3 linked regions of the Callithrix jacchus genome follow. The protein of the gene in region 3 purifies or fractionates together with the protein of the main gene of each other region. This does not show direct contact. Links are inferred from orthologs where the notes say so. Each region holds a gene or a part of one and is shown on either strand. Other genes may lie near its edges. The genes, in order: TFIP11, SF3B3 and DHX15.

Evidence for each region.
Region 1: the proteins of DHX15 (region 3) and TFIP11 purify together in Homo sapiens (co-immunoprecipitation; 4 studies listed by BioGRID and IntAct, with this or other methods). This does not show direct contact. The link is inferred for Callithrix jacchus from reciprocal best matches to the Homo sapiens genes DHX15 and TFIP11.
Region 2: the proteins of DHX15 (region 3) and SF3B3 purify together in Homo sapiens (co-immunoprecipitation; 4 studies listed by BioGRID and IntAct, with this or other methods). This does not show direct contact. The link is inferred for Callithrix jacchus from reciprocal best matches to the Homo sapiens genes DHX15 and SF3B3.

Annotation. Positions count from the first base shown.
Region 1 is NC_133502.1:197,235,777-197,239,427, reverse strand, and holds part of TFIP11 (tuftelin-interacting protein 11), read left to right. Parts: intron 1-2,728; coding exon 2,729-2,882; intron 2,883-3,192; coding exon 3,193-3,349; intron 3,350-3,651. UniProt on the Homo sapiens protein: Involved in pre-mRNA splicing, specifically in spliceosome disassembly during late-stage splicing events. Intron turnover seems to proceed through reactions in two lariat-intron associated complexes termed Intron Large (IL) and Intron Small (IS).
Region 2 is NC_133521.1:31,389,857-31,393,507, forward strand, and holds part of SF3B3 (splicing factor 3B subunit 3), read right to left. Parts: exon of another isoform or gene 3,643-3,651; intron 1,720-3,642; coding exon 1,547-1,719; intron 561-1,546; coding exon 419-560; intron 1-418. UniProt on the Homo sapiens protein: Component of the 17S U2 SnRNP complex of the spliceosome, a large ribonucleoprotein complex that removes introns from transcribed pre-mRNAs.
Region 3 is NC_133504.1:169,329,103-169,332,853, reverse strand, and holds the end of DHX15 (ATP-dependent RNA helicase DHX15), read right to left. Parts: intron 2,436-3,751; coding exon 2,266-2,435; intron 729-2,265; coding exon 611-728; 3' UTR 162-610; downstream 1-161.

The sequences.
Region 1 (3,651 bases), on a different chromosome or scaffold from region 3:
TTTTGCCGTGTTGGCCAGGTTGGTCTCAAATTCCTGACCTCAAGTGATCCACCCGCCTTGGCCTCTTAAAGTGCTGAGATTACAGGCATGAGCCACCATCCCTGGCCTCACTGACTTAATTATCAGTGTTTATTGAGTGATTACTATGTATCGGGCCTGTGCTATAGACCCCTACTTGCTTTCCTGGAGCCCAGATTCTAGAAGAGGGAAATAGGCATTAACAACTCAGACAATGAAACTTGTAACTGAGATGTAGGACATGAAGGAGAGCATATTTTAGGGCATTTCACCTATTCTGAGAGGTCAGGGAAGATTTCTCTGGAGAAAAGTGACCCTTAAGCGGTTATGACAGACAGTAGAAGATAACTAGGGTGGTAGAAGAGGTCTGAGTATGCAGAGCCGTCGATAGGAGGCATCACAGCGTCCACAAGGGTATGAAAGGCTTTGGGGGCTGGAGCAGAGAGGGGGGAGGGGAGCATAGTGTGTGTGATAGAGAGGATGTGATGTGGGGCTGGGTTATGTTTTGAGAAGACCCTTTTGCTGGTGTGCTCAATGGGTGTGGAGCCACAGTGGAAGATAGCGTGGTGATGTGAGGAGGCCAAGCCAGTGGTCCCTGCGGAGGTAGTGGAGGCCTGGGCTGGGATAGTGGTGGGTGATGAGGATTCAGGCTGCACATCTTCCCAGCACAGGGTTATATGTGCCCTGGCTAAAACTCACTCCACCAGGGTGTGCCAGGTTGGGGTTTTTTTTCCTCCATGGCCTCACCTGTGGCCTCTAGGCTCCATCCCATTGAGAGTGTGCCTTTTTCCTTCTTTCTTTATTTATTTTTTTGAGATGGAGTCTTGCTTTGTGGCCAGGCCAGAATACAGTGGTGCAAACTTGGCTCACTGCAACTTCCACCTCCTGGTTTCAAGTGATTCTCCTGCCTCAGCCTCCTGAGTCGCTGGAACTACAGGTGCATGCCACCACACCCAGCTAATTTTTGTATTTTTAATAGAGATGGGGTTTCACCGTGTTGGCCAGGATGGTCTCCATCTCTTGACCTTGTGATCCACCCGCCTCAGCCTCCCAAAGGGCTGGGATTACAGGTGCGCGTGAGCCACCCCACCTGACCAAGAGTGTGCCTTTTTCAAAGGAGGCTGGGGTAGAAAGAGTACAGAGATTAGTCCAAGCTCTTCCATCAAGGAAGTCTGAAAGTGGATGACAGATAGATGAGGGATCAAGAATTGCATAAACATAAGATAATAATAACACATCTCTTTACTGCTTACTTGTTCTGGCTATTTCACAAACCTGGATTAATTTTCCCTATGAGAAAGGTACCATTATTATCCCCATTTTACAGATTAAGAGACTGAGACTAATGGTCGTACAGCTAGGCAGAGGCTAAGCTACAACTGGAACCTGAACCTATCTGTCTGACTCCAGAGTTTGGGATCTGGACCACTAAGTTACATTATATATCTTTAGGAAAAAACTCCCTGAATTCTCTTGTTGCCGTGGGGATGTTGAATTACTAAGTTGGTCATTTTACAAAGCATCACTTTATTTGCTATATTCCCAGGGTTTTTTTTTTTTTTTCTTTGAAACACAGTCTCACTCAGTTGCCCAGGCTGGAGTGTGCAGTGGCTCGACTTCAGCTCACTGCAACCTCTATCTCCTGGGTTCAAGTGATTCTCATGCCTCAGTGTTTTGAGTAGCTTGAGATTATAGGCGTGTGCCACCACACCCAGCTAAGTTTTTGTATTTTTATTAGAGACAGGATTTTTGCCATGTTGGCCAGACTGGTCTCAGAATTCCTGGCCTCAAGCCTCCCAGAATGCTGGAATTACAGGTGTGAGCCACTGTGCCCAGCTCCAGGGTCTTTCACTGTAATTTTTTCTTTTTTAAACCACACAGTACAAATATATCAACTTGATTTTATACAAAAAGGAGCTGAGGTTAATGACTTAATGTAAGTGCTTGAAGCAGTCAGAGTTTAAATCAGTATGTTTCATTTTACAGAGTTAATTTCTTATTTCTTAGGAGACTTCAGTGTAATTTTTTTTTTCCTTTTTTTTGGAGACAAGGTCTTGCTCTTTTGCCCAGGCTGGAGTGCAGTGACATGACCAGAGCTCATTGCAGCCTCAACTTCCCTGGGCTCAAGCAATCCTCTCATCTTAGCTTTCCATGTCGTGGGGGCCCCAGGCATGTACAACCACGCCTGGCTAATTTTGTTTATTTTTTGTAGAGACGAAGTCTCACCATGTTGCCCCAGCTGGAAATTTTCACATTCACATAAATTTAATGATACAAGCTTTTTCTAAGTTTGATTAATATAATTGTTACATACTTTACATTTATATGATCTTTCAGTGGGTTTTATTTATTCACGATTATCCATCAAAATTTCTGTTCCTGTTGGATTTCTGTACTTGAAATACTTTTCAAACAAATGCTTTTTATGATAAATTAATTGTTTAAAATGTAGGAAAATTGTATTATCACATCATATTTTGGATTTATAGTCAGCTCTGCATTGAATAATAACTCTTCAGCTGTCGAGGAATTGGTGTGACTACAGGAAGCCAAATCTAGGGTCCTTTTGATTTTTTGATGTATTAAAAAAAAGTGTTACTTTTTTAAAAAACCTTCCATGAGGTTCACTCTAAGGAGTTCTCAAGCATGTAGTTTCTGCAGAGAAAGGAGTTCTTTACATGCCCCGTGGGGTCTGTTTCTGTGCTTGCAGGGCCCGTGACTACTCTGCGCCAGTGAACTTTATCAGCGCGGGGCTCAAGAAAGGGGCGGCGGAGGAGGCAGAGTTGGAAGATTCTGATGACGAAGAGACACCTGTGAAGCAGGATGACTTTCCTAAGGATTTTGGACCCAAGAAGTTAAAAACGGTAGCGTTTCTATTGCAGGATTGTGACCCTAGTAATACCCTTCAAAGGTCATTGTGGCCCAAGCATTTTCTAGCCAGGGAGTTCATCTGGAACACAGTTTGTTTGAGTGTCTCCTTTTGGTGGCAGGTTTCTGTGAGATCTGAAGTGTGTAGTGCAGTCTCTTCCTTCCTGGCACGTACCAAACACATTTCTGGTTCATGTGACACTCTTATATAGCACTCTATAACTTAGGCCATTTTCCTGTTGACCAAGCTTCTTAGATTTTTCTTCTTTTTGTTTTTTTTCCATCTACTTTTATTTTTCTTTGCAGGGTGGCAATTTTAAGCCCAGCCAGAAAGGTTTTGCAGGAGGAACCAAATCTTTCATGGACTTTGGCAGCTGGGAAAGACACACAAAAGGAATTGGACAGAAGCTTCTTCAGAAGATGGGCTACGTCCCTGGACGGGGCCTCGGGAAGAATGCACAAGGTATTGCACCCTTGTCATCTTGCATGATGGAGGCCAGGCAGAGGGAAGGAGAGGGGCACTGAGAGAGGTGGTTTTCTTTTCCCTTTTAAAAGCACTTTCTCTTTCCAGCCAAATGTTTGCCAGCACAAGACATGTACGCTCCTAAGCTCCCTTGCTTTATCAAAGCTCAAGTTAAATAAAATAATTGTTTCAACAGGAAGAAAAGGGTTAGGGTCTAAAACAGGCTGCAAACAGATTGAAGACAGACTTTTTTTTGGTCCTGATCAGTGATTCTATCAACAAAAATGAGGCTGGGCATGGTG
Region 2 (3,651 bases), on a different chromosome or scaffold from region 3:
TTCAAAAATATTTCTATTTTGTGTACGTTTTCAAATTCACAAGTTTTATCTTGATGGGTTTAGTCCATTTCATTTGGCTTTTCAAAGAGCTAGGTTTGATTGAGGGGTAAAGAGTGACTATAGCCAAACTGTCACAGCAACTAACAGTAAGTAATCAATATTCCAAGCTGACTGCTCCCTTAAACTTGTCTACTTAATATGTCCTTAATATGAGTTATTAAGGAGCTAGACAGTCTATCTCCAACACTTTTAAAAATCACTCCACCACATGAAATTCTAACCTCTCAAAAAGAGAGACAAGGTATTCAGATTTACCGCAAATGAATTAATACTCAAACCCTATTAAGCAAAACCTATTAGGTTTGGGTATAAAATGAAACAACTAAAAGGATACAGAGCAGCTCTGAAAGATAAGTACCTGTAATAAGGAAGTTGCCATGTTCCTCCAAAGGTTCACTGTATTTTCGGACCACATGATTTAAACCAAGGTCTAGCTCATAAAAAGTGAGTGTCTGCTGGGTATTAGCTGCTGCTTCCCCTGTCGGATCATTGTCTGCTTCCTACAGAGAACAGTGGCATAAAAACTAATCAGCAGCATAAAATCTAAAAATGCACAGATTTGGAAAGGACATCAGGACTCCATTTTACAAATGAGGAAACAGAGGTCCATAGATGTCAATTTTCGTTGTTGTTGTCGAAAGACAGGTTTTCACTCTTGTCACTCAAGCTACAGTGCACAGTAGTACAATCTTAACTCACCGCAGCCTAGAATTCCTGGGCCTCAGGCTCCCAAACAGCTAGGACTACAGGCACATGCCACTACACCATGCCAAATAATTTGACAAAGTTTATACTACAAAATAATGGCAGAGCTAGAAGAAGTGGAATCTCCAAATTCTGGATCCAGGGATCTCTTTACTAGAGGATACTGCCTTCCATTCAAGGCAAAGAACAGTATGCTCTGTGAAAAAATACATTAAACATAGCTTCAGCTTTTGCATGAAGCTTTTCCCAATAAAAACCTTGTTTCCATAGGGAGATTACTTAAATCAGAGAAAGGCTATTTAATTGTTGGTTAACCTCAGAAACATCCCAAAGAATTTCACTAAGGCATTTGTAATATGGAGATCTGTTAGCAAGACAGAACTAAGATAGGCACAAGGAGCTGGGCAAGGTGGCTCACACCTGTAATCCTAGCACTTTGGGAAGCTGAGGTGAGCTGATCACCTGAGGTCAGAAGCTCAAAACCAGCCTGGCCAACATGGTGCAACCCCATCTCTACTAAAAATACATCAATTATTTTTAGTTGGGTGTGGTGGGAACGCCTGTAGTCCCAGCTACTCAAGAGGCTGAGGCTAAAGAACAGCTTGAACTTGGGAGGCAGAGGTTACAGTGCGCTGTTATCGTGCCACTGCACTCCAGCCTGGTCAACAGAACATGACTCTGTCTCAAAAAAAAAAAAAAAAAAAAAAGATGCACAAGGAAGAAAACAATCTTAAACACTGAGGTGACTGAAAGAAATCCAAAGAGACATGGTCCCCATTACCTCATAATCCATTTCCAGACAAGCAAACATTGGATTTTCAAATCCAACATCTACTCCAACTACGTGATATACTAAAGTGTTTGCTTTGTGGGCTTCCAGGGGAGATGAAATAGTAAGACGGGCTGCAGCATCCCTGTTCAAGATATATACCAATTTCTGTTTCTCAATGGCACCTGTAGTTGAAGGAGATAAAACATAAAAGATTCCCAGATAATGAGAAGAGAGACTTACAGAACAGCTAGAGTCATTTCATGGTTGTTTTTTTTTTTTTTTGAGACGAAGTTTCGCTCTTGTGACCCAGGCTGGAGTGCAATGGCACAATCTCGGCTCACTGCAACCTCCGCCTCCTGGGTTCAGGCAATTCTCCTGCCTCAGCCTCCCGAGTAGCTGGGATTACAGGCACGCACCACCATGCCCAGCTAATTTTTTGTATTTTTAGTAGAGACGGGGTCTCACCATGTTGACCAAGATGGTCTCGATCTCTTGACCTCATGATCCACCCGCCTCGGCCTCCCAAAGTGCTGGGATTACAGGCTTGAGCCACCGCGCCCAGCCGGTTTTCTTTCAGTAATTATTAACAGCACTAACTCTGTAAGTGTATAACTCAGGATTCTGTTCTCAATCATCAAAATAGCACTTTGGGAGGCTAAGGCAGGTAGATCAAGAGGTCAGGAGTTAAAGACCAGCCTGGCCAAGATGGTTAAATCCCACCTCTATTAAATACAAAAAAATTAGCTGGGTGTGGTAACGCATGCCTCTAATCCCAGCTATTTGGGAGGCTGAGGCAGGAGAATTGCTTGAACCTGGGAGACAGAGATTGCAGTGAGCCAAGATTGTGCCATTGCATTCCAGCCTGGGCAACGAGAGCAAAACTGTCTCACCAAAAAAAAAAAAAAAAAAAAGACAATAGATAGTAGAGCCAGGCACAGTGGCTCAAGCCTGTAATCACAGCACTTCAGGAAGTCAAGGAAGGATTGCTTGAGCCCAGGAGTTCAAGACCAGCCTAGGCAACATAGTGAGACTCCCATTTCTTTTTTTTTTTTTTTGAGACGGAGTTTCGCTCTTGTTACCCAGGCTGGAGTGCAATGGCGCAATCTCGGCTCACCGCAACCTCCACCTCCTGGGTTCAGGCAATTCTCCTGCCTCAGCCTCCCGAGTAGCTGGGATTACAGGCACGCGCCACCATGCCCAGCTAATTTTTTGTATTTTTAGTAGAGACGGGGTTTCACCATGTTGACCAGGATGGTCTCGATCTCTTGAGAGACTCCCATTTCTTTTAAAAATAAATAAATAAATAGTTTTTCAAAAAGACAATGGCAGCTGGGCACAGTGGCTCACACCTGTAATCCCAGCACTTTGGGAGGCTGAGATGGGTGGATCACAAGGTCAGTAGTTCAAGACCATCCTAACCAACATGGTGAAACCCCATCTCAACTAAAAATACAAAAAATTAGCCAGGCATGGTGGCACGCCACCTGTAATCCCAGCTATTCAGGAGGCTGAGGCAAAAGAATCGCTTGAACCCAAGAGGCGGAGGTTGCAGTGAGCCCAAATCGCACACCACTACACTCCAGTCTGGGTGACAAAAAAAAAAAAAAAGACAATGGCATCATTGTGGCCCCCTCCTTCCTAATAGGAATCTTAAATATCCCACTGTCAGGGAACAGTGGCTCAAACCGGTAATTGCAGCACTTTGGGAGGCCCGAAGCAGGCAGATCACAACATTAGGAGTTTGAGACCAGCCTGGCCAATACGGTAAAACCCCATCTCTACTAAAAATACAAAAAAATTAGCCAGGCATGACGTCGGGTGCCTGTAGACCCAGCTACTCAGGAGGCTGAGGAAGGAGAATCGCTTGAACCCAAGAAGCAGAAGTTGCAGTGAGCCAAGATCACACCACTGCACTCTAGCCTGGACAACAGAGCAAGACTCCATCTCAAAAATAAAAATAAAAAAAACACTACCCCTCAACCTCATCAAAATTTGTTAATGAGTCCTAGATTTAAGGATATTAAAAAATTGTAATTCATAAAATTATCAGCTTTATTCACTAGATCCAACGATTTTGTGACTGCTCAGAGAGGACTGCCCTCTAGAGGCCTGAT
Region 3 (3,751 bases):
ACTGCTTTAACAGCTACTTTTCCTAAGGAGTATTCCTTGTGGAAAGACACTAAATATGCAGTAATAGTATAATTATAATAATCAAAAAGCTCCACACTTGAAAAGAAAAACACTTATACTTAAGAGACCAGAACAAAGATACCAAAGGGCTTTGGCCAAAATTAGTATAAATAGACTTTATTGAAGTCAGTGCCTCTGTACTGAGACAGAAGATTGTGTCTACATAAGCACAAGTTGTAACATTTCACAACTTCTAAAAGGAATGTCAACAATTACAACGATCATGCATACCATGGTCGATAATCACATTTTAGAAGCATTTTCAACCATTTCTAAAGAAATGCTTATAACATTGTTATATATAGAACTACTTTCAATAAACTGCAAAACATTGATCGACTTTTCCAGTATGAGCTACAGTGTCAACACAAAAGGGAGGCATAAATGTTTAATTTATGAAATCAGAATGGAATATTTACTGTAAAGAAAAATTAAAAAGCTTTCAAATAAAGGCCATTATCGAACCAACGTGAAGAGCACAACTTGAACTTTTGAGTTCATTCATCTTTTAAAGCTGTCCTCTGAATAGCTTCAGTTCTAAGCACTGAATTCAGTACTGTGAATATTCCTTGGATTGAAGTTTGGCAATGATGCGGTCCAACTGTCTCTTTGCTTCACACTGTGGAAAATTGCTCATGTCATAATATTGAGGGGCAATTTTCACCAACCTGTTTAGAAAGGGGGGAAAATGACCAAATAAACATTTAATTAAAGTTCTGGAGTTGTTAACAGAATAGGCATTATTCATTAATATACAGAACCAAGGCAAATCTATGAATTCAAGTCTCATAAAAACACAAATAACTAATCCTTACAAATAGCACTTTTAGAAATGTTAGGTATTTAGTAAGATGTACATTTTCTAATGTTGGACTTACCATAAACTTAAAAAAAAAAAAAGAACCCTCAGGATACATTAATGTAAAGGTAACATATAATGTCACCGATTTCTTTACTCTGGCACACTATTTTAACTTGCCTCTCCAAGGATACAGTAATAAGACAGGTTCTGTGTAGAGAACATCATGGTATTCAAATGATTGGATCTTCTCATTTTCAATGTTTTTTCAATGCTTTAATAACTATAAATATAACTTTATATCCCCAAAATACACTTGACTGAAATCTTTTATAAAGTTTAGCTATGCAATTTTTTTCTCAACAAAGCATTTAAGATAAAATGGTAATGTCCTACACAGTTTGTCAAAAGTCCCAAATCTGTGTAAGAAAGCAGCTGTACAATATAAAGCAGTGACAGCACCTAGACTAAGTGCCTTCAGTCCCACTACTCTTGGCCAACATTTCCTATCACAGGTTACAGAATAGATTCTGGCATAAATAAACAAACAAATAAAAACATGTGGGGGTTACTTTTCTTAAAATGAAACAATCTGTTCTGTTTACATTTTGTAAAACCTAGTATGTTAAAACACAAAGAGCTATTATTTTTATGCCTGCACAGTTCCTAAAAACCAATATATAAATAATAAATAGTTGAGAGCTAATTGTAATGAGACAAATGAAATGTTTTTTAAAAAAGCTGACTTCTGCAAACAAGAAAACAGTACTGACTTGAGATAATCACAATAGCAAGAGAATGGCTCCAAAAAAACTCTAAATTTTTTTTAAAAAAGAAAAAACCTTAAAAAAAAATATTTTTAACAGACAGGGTCTCACTCTGTCATCCAGCCTGGAGTACAATGGCATGATTACAGCTCACTGCAACTTTAAACTCCTGGGCTCAAGCAATCCTCCTGCCTCAGCCTCCCCAGTAGCTGGACTATAGGTGTGCAGCACCACCATGCCCAGCTAATTTTTATACACATCTATATATATTTTTATATTGTACAGGCTGGTCTTAAACTCCTGGCTTCAAGTGATCCTCCTACCCTGGCCTCCCCAAGTTCTGGGATTATAGGCGTGAGCCACCATGCCTGGCCCCTAAAGAAACTTTTCATGCTCTTCAAATGTAACTTTACATTTGGCTTCAAATCCTGTCCATAAATGTCATCAATTCCACTGTCCACTTATCAAAGGAAGGGTATGAAAGATTAACAATACATCCAGTCAATTCCCTCATACCTACACAATGAAATATATATCCTTAATAAGTGAAGGCAAGGCCATGACTCTAGTCATGACCAACAGTCAGGTTCCATTTTGAGCAAACTAACAAAAACCTATTAGAACAAAAGGGGTACTTACCATTCTGGCTTGATATCTGTACATGTCCGGATGTAATTCTTTGTTGTTAGAACAAACTCATTATAAAGCACCCATTCAGGTTTGTGGTCAAGAACAGTAGAGGGATGCAACTGAACCACCTGGTTATCTTTCACAGTTAAGTAATGCCCTGTTCGCTCCAAATGTGCCACCTGAAACCAAAATCCAGCATATCATTAATGCAATGATTTTGATGTGCTAGTTGTAAAGTTACCTATATAACTAGGAAAGGCAGGCCTACCTTTTACTTTTCATTCTATAGCTATACTTATTTATTACTGCCTGATAAAAGCAGAAATAAACAAACTGCTGCCTGTGGGCCAAATCCAACTCATAGCCTCTATTTGTAAGGTCTGTGAATTCACAATAATTTATACATCTTTAAAAAATTAGAAAAAAAAAAAATCATATGAAAAACATTTCGTGAAGCATGAACAGCATGTAAAATTCAAACTTCAGGGCCATAAGGGAAGTTTTATTAGAATACACGCATGCCCATTTGTCTATAGCTGCTATCATGCTCCAAGGGCAGGCAGTGTCAGCTAGTTTTGACAGGGATCCCATGGGTTCACAGAGCCCAACATTTACTATCTGATCTTTCCTGCCATAGACCATCTAGAGCAGGCTCTTCAGCACAGGGTGCCATCTATGAGCAGACAAACAATTACCAGAAAATGCATGTGTAAGGTAGAAAACTAAAGCTGGGTGCGGTGGCTCATGCCTGTAATCCCAGCACTTTGGGAAGCGTGGATCATCTGAGGTCAGGAGTTTGAGACCAGCCTGGTCAATGTGGTGAAACCTCATCTCTACTAAAAATACAAAAATTAGCTGGGCTTAGTGGTAGGTGCCTGTAATCCCAGCTACTAGGCAGGCTGAGGCAGGAAAATCACCTGAACCTGGGAGGTTCAGTGAGCTGAGATGAAGTCACTGCACTACTGCCTGGGCGGCAGAGTGAGACCCTGCCTCCCCGACCTTACCGCACCCCCTTGCCCTCAAAAGAAAAGAACATGTCAAAAAGAAGCCAGTACATATAAAAATAAATATTAAGAATATAGTTAAAGAGTTTCAAGAAAGAAATGTTCACGCCTATTATTCACCAAACTCTAATAAGCCTAAGGTATTATATAATAAAATGCCACAATAAACATTCTTAACTGTTACTCAGATTCAAATACAGACATCTCATCAATCTCCTTTGATTTTTGACTCTGAAACTGAGTGTCTTTAGGCTCATATTCTAGCTACTGAGCCCATCTGGCCTTAATGTAAGCCACATCTTCCTTAACAGATATAGCCAAAGAGAGAATGAACAAACAGGAAAGAAACAGAAGAGACCTATCCCAAGGCAAATGATGTACTATTTGCTTCCAATTTTATCATCACAAAATTTTCTAGTGTTTTTCTCAAAGTTTCTCTTATCTTTTAAAGACCTTCAAATAATTGTTTGCAACATCTACTTGACAACTTT